Linked DNA regions of Sus scrofa. Each later gene encodes a partner of the first gene's protein in a complex. Links are inferred from orthologs where the notes say so. Each region holds a gene or a part of one and is shown on either strand. Other genes may lie near its edges.

Region 1 (7,096 bases):
ACATTCTGGTGCAATCAGAGTGCCAGACCACAGCTTGGCTGACCAAAGCAGACACCTTTTCTGGCTTCCTTTCCACTTTCAGTTCAGCAGGAAAATGTAAGCCACAGACCCCTGAACTTTGGGACTCTTTGCATTCCGGGTGCAAAGAAGGTAGCTGATCACAGGACAAGAAAGATCGAAGACGAAAATCTCAAAACAGAGAATGTTATCAAGGAGGGGGAGCACCCAATAAAGATAGAAAACCTTTATATTAAAAACCCCACAAGTATAATTTCTTTTGTAGTTAGGCATCCTTCCCGACTCCAGGCCAGACAGATATAAATTTGTACTTTATACTTAAAGTTTAACAGTTTTGCTTTTGATATTTAAGTTTTATCTGATATTGATTTTTATGTCACTATATGAAACATGGATATTATTTCTCCCATAAGTTCCACTTAGTGAATACTTCTTTTTCCCACTTACCTGTTATGCCACCTTTAGTCATACATCAAAGTTCCAAATATAAAGGGCACTATTTCTGGACTTCCTACTTACTCCATTTAGTCAGGTTATCCAACTCTCTACCAATACCACACCATTTCTACAGCTTCATAATAAGGTCTAAGTCTGGTAGGGCACATCCCCAATCCTATTACCATGCTTCAGATGTGTCTTGGCTATTCCAGTTTTTTCATCTGTCATATAAATTTTAGTAGTAACTTCCAAGCTCCATGAGGACTCTGATAGGCTTCTGATAGAAATTACTTTGAATTTATAGAGCAATTTGGATAGAACTGGCATCTTTCTATTGTCTTCTAATCCATGAACATGGAATATCTCTCCACTTATTTAGATCTTCTTTAATGTCATTCAAACTTTTATATTTTTATGTATGAAGATCTTATATATATTTGAGTAAATTTATTCTTAAGTACTGAACAGTTTTTGTTTCTATTTTATTATAGCAAAGATTCTGAAGATTCAGCTAGGTGTTCTACATAAGCAGTCACATTCCCTGCATATACGGCCAAGAGTCCTTTTTTCTCCTTTCCAATTCTTAGGGTTCTAATTTCTTTTTTGACAGAAATTTTGCACTGGCTAGGATGGCCACACAACTGTGAATATAAAGTCACTAATGAATATTTTGTCATCTTCCTGATTTTAAAAAATACGTTTCTAGTGTTCCCCATTGTGCATGTTTGTTTTAGAATTTTGTCGATGCCCTTTATCAAATTAAGAAAATTCCATTGTATTTTTTATCAAAAAGTTACATTGAATTTTCTCAAATGTTTTTGTGAATCTATTGAGATGACCATATGGATTTTTTCCTTAAAGCTTTTAATGTTGTATACAACACATATATTTTCTAATACTAAACTCTAAATGCATTCCTGGAGTAAATGTAGAAACTGTAAAACACGGCACAAATATTCATTATAAATGTTGTTTTCAAATTGTAGAGAGACTTAAAAAAGAGAAAACATAATCTGGTATCAATCAGGGAACCACTGAAGGGTTTTGACAGGGAACTGATAAGATTAGAGCTCATAAAAGTCCAGTGGACATTACTAGTTGCATTTTCCATGCAGAGACTAGATGTAGACCAAATAAAGCCATTTTGGAAGCAGTGACAACAATCTCCACTGTGACTATTAACTGGGAGGTTTGCTCCTCTTTGTTGTGTTGGTCTTTGCACTTTCCAGCCTTCCGGATGGCCCAATAATGATGCATCTCTGTTAATACAGAGTTGTGTTTACCAAAAGACCTCAAACATAGATTGCCTATTATCAGGATTAAAGTTCAACAAATGCAATTCACACGAAAGCCTCCCTCAAAGAGTGACTGGCTGATGACCACAGAGCTGGCAAGAAAAAGGATATATGGTTGCGTCATTCCATCCAAAGTCCTTTCCACCCTTGATGAAGTGGCAAGGCTTGATAGGAGAAGGAACCCAAGGTCTCTTTGCTTCCCCTGCTCTGCCCCTCTGGGAAAATAATGAGAAGTCTGAAGGAGGTTCTGGATCCCTGGTTTCTGAAAAGTAGAAGTTTCTTTGGCAACTTGTTGACCTTCCACAGAGCAGGAAGCTAAGGAAAAAGAGGGTCTGAGGCCTCAAGGAAATTAAGAACCTTGCACAAGATCACACAGATAATACGTGGCAGAGACAGCATCTGAGCTCAAGTGCCCTTAAAACCCAAGCAGCCCAAGCTATTTCCACTACAGCTTACACCCTGCAGCAGTGAAGTGTACACATGTGTACCCGCACACACACACCCCAGCCTAGAATCACAGGTTCAGGCAGAGTTGCCAGATTCCACCTTTCTCTCCCTAAACCTTTCTCCCCGCACCGACACTAGATCTTAACTAGTTAGTGTCCAACACATAGCTCACTCCCACCCAATCAAAGCCCAATCCCTAATATATTTTGCTCTTGATCCCAGGCAAAACTGGTGCGTCCACCTCCCCACCTGCAAAACACAAACCACACTGAGGTATATTCCCAATCTCTGTCCAACCTCCCCAGATCCAGCTAAAACTTACCTCTCCTGCCCCCTTGTTGACTCTCTCTCTCGTTCACTCGCTTACACACACACACACACACACACACACACACACACACACACACCTCTAGGCAGACAGCCACAACATGTTTTCTGCTGAAAAGTGTTTATTAATAAATGCTCTTACGTGAAGCACAAAATAGTTGATTTCTCCAGGCACAAAGATGCTCCAGCTAAGCACCCCCTCCCTGGCTCCAAGCCCACTCTACTAAAGCCACACCAAGAACTCTCACTCAGCCCAGCTGAGGGGATGTGGCCTTCAAAGTGTCATGATCTGGCAAGCAGTATGAAACCAACCAAATGGTCTCCAAAGTCAACATTAATTTACACATGCCCTTCTCCCCACAGCTGAAGCTCTGGCGGCCGACCAGTGGAGCCTTCATCAGTGCTCAGAGGACCAGAGTTTCAGTAACATTCTAGTAGAACCAGATTTAAGATTCAAATGGGTCACCAACAACAGAGATGGCAAGAAAGTACAGGCCAGTCAGGATCCCTGTTCTTTCCTATAGCATTAGACAAAAACAGTCATCCATACTGGATGGCTATGTAAAATGTCCTTTCAAAGGACTCTGTAGTGAAAAAGCTGAAAGAGCATCAGTCTATGTGATAAAGTCATGATTCTTGCCCAGAAGTCAAAGCCATCCTTGACCTGGACTGAATCTAAATATTTACTAAGTACTTATTATGCCCTGAGCAGATGAACCATCCACTGCAAATAGATTTCCCCTCTTTTCCCCTGTACCATAATCTAAATATCTGTTCTTCCAGGACCAGGTAAGTTATCCCTCTTCTATGAAGCCCTTTGAATACTTCAGTCCTAAGTGATCCCTGCCTTCCCTAACTGCTATAGTACTTCTGGCTTATAACTCAACCAGCACATAGAACACTGACCTGCGTTTGGTTACCTTTTCACAGCACCTATTTCACCACACAGCCCCTTCATGCTAGATTCGACATTCCTGGTGAGGAAAAGCTACACGTCTGAGGACTCTCATACAGCTGCCCAGCATAGGGCAATACCCCAGTTTCTTCACTACATATTTGTTATCAATCAATCGGACCTGAAAACCCTCCACTTGTCCTTACATGTGATAGACAGTAGAGCAGAGTATGATGTTCTCCCCCAACCAGCACCCTCAACCCCAATGATTAAAAAAAAAAAATGAAAGAAGGGTTGGTCTTCAGTGTTAAACTAAAAATCAATACACATAAAATGTTAATTATGTAAAAACTGTAAATTAAAACATGTAAACTCTAAACAGCAGGCCCTCTTTCATGGCACACCACTTCCCACAGCTTTTCTCCTACCCTCTCCTGTCTCCAAAGTCCAGATCCAGATTCCCAGTGTCTGTCTGAACTCCACCACTTGGACTTTTCACGGAAACTGACATGCAACTGATGCTCTCCCACCCTCCCTAAAGCCTATCCCAGAGGCATAACCAACCACCCACTCACCTATCCTAGGCAGAAACTGGGATCTCACCCTTCTCTCTCACCTCACATATGACCACAAGTCCTATCCGTCCCAGGGCCTCCAGTATCTCTCCACCCCTTCTCCTTCCCATGGCCACTGCTACACGACCTCAGTCCAGGCGTCGTCATCTCTTACCTGGATTTCTACACTACCTGCCTTGCAGGTTCCAGAATGACCTTTACAGACTGTCACTGTGCGCGTGGAAACATTCTCTGGGGAACCTCTCACTGGTTCCTCAACTGCATTCAGACTAAATCTCAGAGACCTGTCCTGGCCCTTCATAATCTCATCACTGTCCTGAAGAGTGCTCATTACTGAAGAGCTTAGATACAAATGCCTGCATACTCCAGGCTCTTGTGTCCTATCCCCAGCTGCTGCCCCATGTCTAGCTCCTTCCTACCAGCCCTGCAGACCTCTTGCTGAAGATCTGTCTTCCCTATGGTCCTCCACGACCCTGGATTAACTTCCCTCCTCCGTGCTTCCCTTTGTATCACACTGTAATTACCACTGACTTCTCTGTCTTCCCCACAGAGTGTGTGCTGGTAAATGTTTAACGGTTGGTTGCAAAAAAGGGAGTCCTGATTTGTAACACTTCGCAATTTCCTTTGTGTAAATACTGCCACCACAGCAGACTCTGAGCCACTAACGTGATGTCACCGAACACTCAGAGTTGGGAGGAAATGTGTATTATATCACCAGCAAGCATTTCCACGACACAGGTACAACAGACATAATCTAAAGGGCATAGACATCAGTAAAATAACTAGGAATTGATGAGTTTTGAGTTTTTATTACATTTGTTTTTAATGTAATTTATTAGTAAGTTACTTAATTTTATTTTTAATAAGGACTATACTTAATAACTGACTCACAAATTCCTAAAAATTTAACAAGCAGCTCTTGCACGTGGGTGAGTGCTGGCTCCATCCAGCACACCACTGCCTACCCTAGATTTTGAGCTCCATTAGAACCAGGATGGTGTCTTACTTCCCTCTGTATTCTTAGCTTCTGGCACATGACGGGTGCTCAATAAATGATTCCTGAGTGAATGAATGGATGGATGAATGAGATATAACTAATGACTATTCCATCTCTCACTTCCCTCGTTAAAATAATTCTGGTTTTATCTCTCTCGACTTCCCCACAGGAGGTGTGTGTTGGGGGCAGGGGTGATCCTTAGCCCATCCAGTTCCCTGCACTGGTGACAGAGAATCAGGAAGACGTGGGGAGGAAGCAAAGAGAGCCAGAATCAGCTAGAGAAGAGGAAAGAAAGTAGGAAGGGTTGCTGCTTACTGTGTCAGTTCTCAGGCTTTTTCTATCACTCAGGAAAATCCAGGCATTGAATGGAAAGGAAAGGACAGTAGAAAGTTCGTTACCAAAATAGGAGACAGAAAAACCTCTGAACATCCAATTGTGCAGAAGTGCTTGTGAGATCTGCCAAATGACGAGTTCCGAGCATCCAGGGTGTGAGAGAGTGGGGAGGAAAGGAAAGGGGAGCCTGAGAAACACTGCTGACGGTTAAGAACTGCATCCCTGATAAAAGTCTTCAAGAGACGCAATAAAGTTCAGGCGGTGTGGGCCACACACACACAGAGCCCGAGCACACTGTGTTCAAGGTACAGACGAGATAGAATAAAAAGAGGCAAAGTCCCCTAAAGAGGGTAACACAACTCTGAATCAGAGTAAGACTATGCCAAAGGCATTAAAATCCCTCAGCAAAGAAAGTGCCCCTTAGGAGAATAAATTGAAAAATAAGAATCGGAGTTCCCATCATTGCACAGCAGAAACGAACCCGACCAGGAACCATGAGGTTGCAGGTTCGATCCCTGGCCTCGCTCAGTGGGTTAAGGATCCAGCGTTGCTGTGAGCTGTGGTGTAGGCCGGCAGCTACAGCTCCAATTGGACCCCTAGCGGAGAGTGCGGCCCTAAAAAGCAAAAAAAAAAAAAAAAAGAAAGAAAAAAAAGAAAAAAGAAATAGAAAAAAGAAAAAGAAAGAAAAACAAGAATCAGACAGAGAAGACCCTTGGTCCTACTCATCCCACACTATCTATAAATGAAAATGATTTAATCATCAGTCATCTGGTTCAGCCTCAGGTCAGAGCCTGTTGTGGAACTTGAAGCCTATAAATACTCAAAGGCCTAACTTGGTACCACGCTCACAATGCAGCCTTTTAATCAAGCTGGCCTCTCTCATGGTTCTCCTTCAAGGAGGCATGAAAGTGGTGGCAGGCCCTCAGGAACATCGTGCCAGTAATACTTTTCACTGCAAATTAATAAAGTGACACTCAGAGATCCCATCGTGGTGCAGCAGAAACGAATCCAACTAGGAACCATGAGGTTGCATGTTGGATCCCTGGCCTTGCTCAGTGGGTTAAGGATCCAGCGTTGCCGTGAGCTGTGGTGTAGGTCGCAGATGTGGCTCGGATCCTGCATTGCTGTGGCTGTGGCTTAGGCCGGCAGCAGCAGCTCCAATTCAACCCCTAGCCTGGGAACCTCCATATGCCACTGGTGCGGCCCTGAAAAGACAAAAGACAAACAAATAAATAAAAATAAAAATAAAATGACACTCCAACTACTGTGCCTCAGGTTCTCATGAGCAGTTCCCAGCATGACTCCGCTTCTCTGAGTCTGGGCAGCACCAGGGCACTGACAAGAGAGGATTTCTCAACCGAAAGAGCGCAAGGCAAACTGCAGATCTCCCATGCTTCTCAATCCTAACGTGCAAAGCCAAAATGACCCAATTTATATTTCTGCATCTGGATTAATGAGGGAACTTTCACTTGAAGATACCCAGGCAGTGGGATTCAGGGTGTGGCGGTGCAGTCCTGTCAAGAAACACCCCCCTCCACACAGGCTGCTATTGAGCTCCAGGTCCTCCTCCTTCTTTCAGGGGTCCCGCCTCGGTTCAGGGGACTCAGGATCAGGCTGATTCCCTGCAGTGGGCCACGTGCACACATGGAAGACACGCCTTGGTAGGCTGCAGCTCCTGTGTGGTGGTTAATAACAGTTAACACTTCCTGAGAGCCTCCTTCACCTCTACCATCTCACTTTACCTTCAGAACAACCCAGTGAGGCACTACCT
Region 2 (6,497 bases), on another chromosome or scaffold:
AATACAGATACCGAGAGCAGAGTAGTGGTTACCAGAAGGGGAGGGTGAAATGGGTGAAGGGATCAACTGTATGGTGATGTGGTGGGCATGCTGTAGGGTGAAATAGAAATACAGTGTTGTACAGATCAAACATAATGTTATAGATCAGTGTTACCTCAATAAAAAACCCCAAATAAATAAATACTTGTTTTGGTTTGTTCATTATTTCTTCCTCCACTTGTTGGCTATTGTGCCACTAGTGCAGTAGCCAATCATTGGATTTCAGTTAAGGGCTCAAGATCACTTGTTCCACTAGATTTGTATACAAGAAAAAATCCTGACATTGGGTTTCCCATAGTGCAGAAGTGTTCTTAAATGAATGACATTCAAACTTAGCTCTATGTTAACAAGCTTTTTTTTTTTTTTTTTTTTTTTTTTTTTAGGAAACTAAAGGGAAATGAGCACAAAAACACTCTAAGATTAGCTGGGTGGGCAGAAATGCTGGCCCTAATATGTATATATTTCTGGCTCTCATCTCCTTTTTATTCATACAGCAAGTATGAACAGAGTAAGAACACAATCTATAAACACTTCAACTCCAAAGTCTTCCTCAACAGTGTTTGCTCACTGAAGTTGGAAGAAAATTAGATGAATGTGCAAGAGGGATAACAGGAAAAAAATGATACTTTTATTATAGACTGATCGTACGTCCTGGGGTTTTAAGTCTTAGAAAAGTAGGAATTCCAACAAGATTGGTATCTCATTTTGATATAACGTGGTAACCCTAAATCAGTAAAATTTATTTATTTATTTGCTTTTTTTTTTAGGGCCACACCCACGGCATATGGAGGTTCCCAGGCTAGGGGTCCAATCAGAGCTACAGCTGCCAGCCTACACCACAGCCACTGCAACACAGGATCCAAGCCACATCTGTGACATACATACATCACAGCTCATGGCAATGCCAGATCCTTAACCCACTGAGCGAGGCCAGGGATTGAACCCACAACCTCATGGTTCCTAGTGGGATTCGTTTCCACTGCACCATGATGGGAGCTCCCAGTAAGATTTATTTTTATAAAACTCTTTTGTATATGAGAATATGTCCCATTTAATTAATTAAACTCTTCTTATGCAATTTTCACTAGTATATTTCCATTTAATTTTTAATCTCCTTCAATCTAAACCTTCATTAGATCAGAAGTCATAGAGAACGACAGACTGTGTATAAATAAGCATTGAGATTATCATGTTCCTCCTTATTAAGCAGTTTTCTTATTTACTTTTCCCAGTTCATTGCATGGGTTGGCTGGTACAATAATCAGAATACCTGGGTTCTATAACCTCAGTTGTTTACCTTCTAGATTCCAGTCTCCCCATCACAAAAATAGAATACTTGCTGAACCTATATCACAAGTCTGTTATAAGTTTCAAAGAATAGAAAAGTGCTTTGAAAGTGTTAATATAGAGGTTTCTTGCATTATCTTTTACATTTTTCATGGTTTTCCACAATTAAAAAAAAAGTACCATAATGAAGAACCCATGTGGTTCAGTGACTTAAATATCTGGTGTTGTCACTGCAGTGGCTGAGGTTACTGCTGTGGTGTGGGTTTGATCCCTTACCTGGAACTTCGCATGCTTGACTACAGCCCCCAAAAAAGGTACCATAATAGTTGTACAAGAAATTTTCACATGCTTATTTAATTAAATCCCTGGCCATATTATTTTGCTTGTTTCACAACAGTTTCACAACTGTTTCCTAAAATTCATTTTAGACCCACTCTGTAAGTTTTGATTTATAAATCAGTGAGAGGAACTTATGAGTCTTTTCAATGAGAATGATTTATTAAGCATGTGTGATAAGTTCTAAATAATTTAAAGACTTAGTGTGGTGTTCAGATTAGGAAACTTTTCACTGATGGAGACATCTGTAATTGATTTTTTTCATCTATTTGGATATCTTGTGCTCCAGAACTAATGAAGCTCACAAACCATCTACCTCCTTGTTCTTGCTATTCTAGAAATACGTACTTTTTATCATTAATAAACAGAAATATCAGTTAAAAATTAAATGAGATTTTAGTTTTCTGAAGCTTGTTGAAACTCACTATGGTATATTGAAAAGAGAGCATTCTTATTTAGGCTTCAGAGCTCCAGGCCTGGTCCTGCTGGTAAGTAACTGTAGGAACTCAGGCGTGTCAGTTTACTTTCTCTGGGCCTCATTTCCCCATTATAAAACAAGTGATGTGGATTAGACTTCTGATGTTCTTTCCACTTTTAACTTTCTATAATTTTTTTAAAACTCTTCTAAGTATTTATCTGAGGAAATTTATGAAAAGCTTAGAGTTGATACTAATATTTTTGAGATACTATTTATTATATTTAACCTAAGGTGACTATATAATTTGACATCCAAACAAGAAGGAACTTTTGAGAGTGAAAGGGATTCTGTTAGTAATTATACCAGGACAGCAGCTTTAAATCGGAGCTATCCCAGATAAACTAGACTGTCTGGTTACCCTATCTGTACCCAATATGTAGTTCTGCATTACTAGCCATAAAAGAGTATTAATTTATCAATTTTAATTCATTTTCATGGTTTCTGTTTTTTTCCTTATAGATCCACCGTGTGTGGAAAGTAGTGCAGCATCATGCCAGCCATCTCCAGCTAGTAAAAAAGGGATGTTCACAGATGACTTACACAAACTGGTGGATGACTGGACAAAGGAAACAGTAGGAAATTCTCTTATTAAGCCAAGTTTAAACCAAATTAAACAGAGTCAACAGAAACTAGAGACAGACAACTGGAACAAAGTATATGAAGTAAGTTTTTTTATACCTGGTCCTATTTATTTATGAAAACTAAAACAATAAAAATTGATTCACTTAGGCCTGTGGATATAGTCACTGTGAGAGAGTGGTATGACTTGACAACATAGAGACATTTATCCTTGTATTGATTCATTATGTCTTTGAGAAAACTATCTTTTAGGCCAAGGGTCAGAAAACTTTTTCTAGGAAGGGGCCAGTTAGTAAATATTTCCAAGCTATGTGGTTGTAACTACTCAACGCTTCCAAAACAGCCATAGACAATACATAAAAGTGGGTGTGGCTTTGTTCCACTAAACCTTGGTTTGCAAAAAGAGATGGCAGGCCATAGATTGCTGATCCTTGTTTTATGCTATTATACCTTAAAAAAAAAAAAACCGTCAAGTTATCAAAAAAGAAAGCAAAGGGAGTGAGGATTAATTCAATCTTGTGGTGTAAGAACAGTTTGGACTTTGAGGAAAAGCTATCTTATGTTACTTGTACATCAGTATACCCAGAGCCCATAAGTAATCTTATGTATTCAGTATGAAAAAGAACTTTAAAGGTCTTTAAGCTAGAGCTTTATAGAAGATGTCTTAAGTTTATGGATGAAATATCTACTTAATTGTATATGGTCTTAGGTGTACATGCAGTTGAATGTACAAAGATGTCCACAGTGCATTCTGTAGTGGGAAGAATACAGGCTCATAGAATAGTATATATACTAATTATGTAAAATTATACACATTACATAGATATATATACATGAATATATGCATAGAAATAGGAAAAACCATTAAAATATGCTGGATGGTAGAATTTGGGCCTTAATTTTACTTTGTACTTTTCTGTTTTTGAATTTTTAAAGTAAGAATCATGTTTTCAAAATGAGTAAATCTAGGAGTTCCCTACTGGCTCAGCAGGTTAAAGATCCAGTATTGTCACTGTTGTGGCTTGGGTTGCAGCTGTGGCACAAGTTTGATTCCTGAACCGGGAATTTCCACGTGCTGTGGATATGGCAAAAAAAAAAAAAAAAAGAGTAAATTTACTAAAATGTGAGTCAGGGCTTAGAATTTGAATCCATGTAACTAAGAGATATATCTGAGTGTGTGTCTGTTATGTTTGTGTACACGTGTGTGTGTGTAGTCATTGCATGTAGAAAGTCTAAAAATACATTCAGTGTTAACATTGAATAAAAATTTTCAAAAGCCTAGATTTTCCAAACTAGCAAGTAGTATATCTGCTTGAGGACTCTGTGTATTTATATTATTCCTGGCACCGATTTATACACAGATAGTATCACCATTGTAAAAATTAGAAGCCTTTAGAGGTAAATTTCAAAGTACAAATGCGTTGGCGCTGCCAGTGAGAGATCCTCTGAATACTGTTTGAATGGAGGCCTTTGTTGACAAATAGGAGGGTGGTTTATTGCAGTATAATGAGGGATGTTTGGAGGAAGAGTGAATAGAAGATGGAGTATGAATAAAAGTGGTAAAGGTCGGAGTTCCCGTCATGGCGCAGTGGTTAACGAATCCGACTAGGAACCATGAGGTTGCGGGTTCGATCCCTGGCCTTGCTCAGTGGGTTAAGGATCCGGCGTTGCCATGAGCTGTGGTGTAGGTCGCAGACGCGGCTCGGATCCTGCGTTGCTGTGGCTCTGGCGTAGGCCGGTGGCTACAGTTCCCATTCGACCCCTAGCCTGGGAATCTCCATATGCCTTGGGAGCAGCCCTAGAAAAGGCAAAAAGACAAAAAAAAAAAAAAAGTGGTAAAGGTCTTTATATAGACTTGGGTTCCAGTGTCAACTCAGTCATTTACTAGTTGTGTGACTTTAGACAAGGCATTTGTGCCTCAGTTTTCATGTCTTTAAAATAGGGATAATACCTTCCTGTGTGGCATTGCTGTGAGGATTAAATAAGGTAACGTCTATGGAGTGCCTAGCACAAAGTAGTATCCTATTTATGCTATTTTTGTATTTTTAGGTTCAGTTGATTATATCTTTGTGTGGAGAGCTCATTGCACTATCTAATGTTCTTGCATGTTCTGTAGTCTTAGAAAGTTTTGTCACAATTATGTGCTAGGTCCTTTACTATGTGCCAAGCCCTATGTTAGGTACTGTGTTTGATTAGCAAAATTGAGTATGTTCTCTGTATAGGACTTATATTCTAGTGGGACAGTTAGATGTGAACAGACTTGTATAAGTAAATGTAAATTGCAGCTGTAATAAGGACTACAAATGAGAGATTATAGGATACTATACAGTAAGGTCAAGGAGTTCCTATTGTGGCACAGTGGGAAACAAATCTGTTTAGGAACCATGAGGTTGCAGGTTCAATCTCTGGCCTCACTCAGTGGGTTAAGGATCTGGCGTTGCTCTGAGTTGTGGTGTAGGCTGGCAGCTGTAGCTCTGATTAGACTCCCTAGCCTGGGAATATCCATATGCTGCCGGTGTGGCCCTAAAAAGCAAAAAAAAAGGGGGGGGGGGAAGTCAAGAAAAGCTTCCTTAAGAAGATGATGTTTGAGCAGAGATCTGAAGGATGAGTTAAGTGTTAACTATGTGAAAGGGGGCGGGAATATGATTCTAAACAGAAAGAATGGCATATGCAGAAGCCCCTTATGGGGAAAGGCACCGTGAAAGGACTGAAAGCAGGTCCACTAGCCCGAAATGAGGAAAGCAGAGAGGAGTTGCTATAGAGTGAATCTAACTAAGGAGATAGGTAGGGTCTTAAAAGTGATGATGATAAGGAACTTTGTCTTTATTTTAAGGGAGATGGATAGTCCTTGAAGCCCCAAAGTTGATATGATCAGATTTGCTTTTTGAAAAGGTCACTCTGGCTTAAAGTAAGAAGAAAGATTATTGAAGATAAGGGTAGATAATGGTAAACCTGTTAAGAGCTAGTCACAGTAGTCTCAATAAAGAGAAGTTGAACAACTTGATAAATCAACTATACTTCATTTGAAAGAGAGAGAGAGAAGTTGAGATGAAGAGAAGTGAATAGATCCCAAGAAATGTTTAAGGGATAAAAATGGACCAGATTTAGTAATAGAATTAATGTTTTGGCAGAGGGGATGTGTGAAGGCTAGGTTTCTGGCTGGTGTAACTGGCTGTCATTCCAGTAACCAATCATCACGATGGGGAACATAAGCAGGCAGTGTTATAAGCAGTCAGTGTGTGTTTTGGTAGGCGAAAGATCATATGCTTGTTTTTAGTCACTTGAATCTGAGGTTCCTTTTAAATATCCAGGAGAAGATTAAATATAACAAGTCATCTCCAATTCATTCTTTTTAAAAAATAAAAATCACATTATTATTGTTTGTAAATGAAAAATATTTGTTATAGAACTTAATCAATGCAGAAAAGTACAAAAATTTAAAAGGGAGTTCCCTTGTGGTGCAGCAGGTTAAGGATCTAGTGTTGTTTGCTGTGGCGCAGGTTCAATCCCTGGCCTGGGAATTTCCACCTGCTAAGGGTGCGGCCAAAAAAAAAAAAAAAAAAAAGATAAAATACCACCTTTTTTTTTTTTGTCTTTTGTCTTTTTTGTTGTTGTTGTTGTTGTTGTTGCTATTTCTTGGGCCGCTCCCGCGGCATATGGAGGTTCCCAGGCTAGGGGTTGAATCGGAGCTGTAGCCACCGGCCTACGCCAGAGCCACAGCAACGCGGGATCCGAGCCGCATCTGTGACCTACACCACAGCTCACGGCAACACTGGAT

Evidence for each region.
Region 2: the proteins of KLHL3 (region 1) and WNK3 are in contact, whole or in part, in a crystal structure (PDB 5NKP), measured with the Homo sapiens proteins. The link is inferred for Sus scrofa from reciprocal best matches to the Homo sapiens genes KLHL3 and WNK3. Residues at the interface, in NP_059111.2 of Homo sapiens: Lys312, Arg339, Phe355, Gly357, Arg360, Thr386, Phe402, Gly404, Ser405, Gly407, Ser432, Ser433, Tyr449, Gly451, Arg454, Cys456, Ser481, His498, Arg528, Tyr577; in NP_065973.2 of Homo sapiens: Glu537, Cys538, Glu539, Glu540, Thr541, Glu542, Val543, Asp544, Gln545, His546.

What each region holds. Positions count from the first base shown.
Region 1 is NC_010444.4:139,738,769-139,745,864, forward strand, and holds the start of KLHL3 (kelch-like protein 3), read right to left. Parts: upstream 3,974-7,096; 5' UTR 3,932-3,973; coding exon 3,849-3,931; intron 1-3,848. UniProt on the Homo sapiens protein: Substrate-specific adapter of a BCR (BTB-CUL3-RBX1) E3 ubiquitin ligase complex that acts as a regulator of ion transport in the distal nephron.
Region 2 is NC_010461.5:46,927,288-46,933,784, reverse strand, and holds part of WNK3 (serine/threonine-protein kinase WNK3), read left to right. Parts: intron 1-2,599; coding exon 2,600-2,802; intron 2,803-6,497.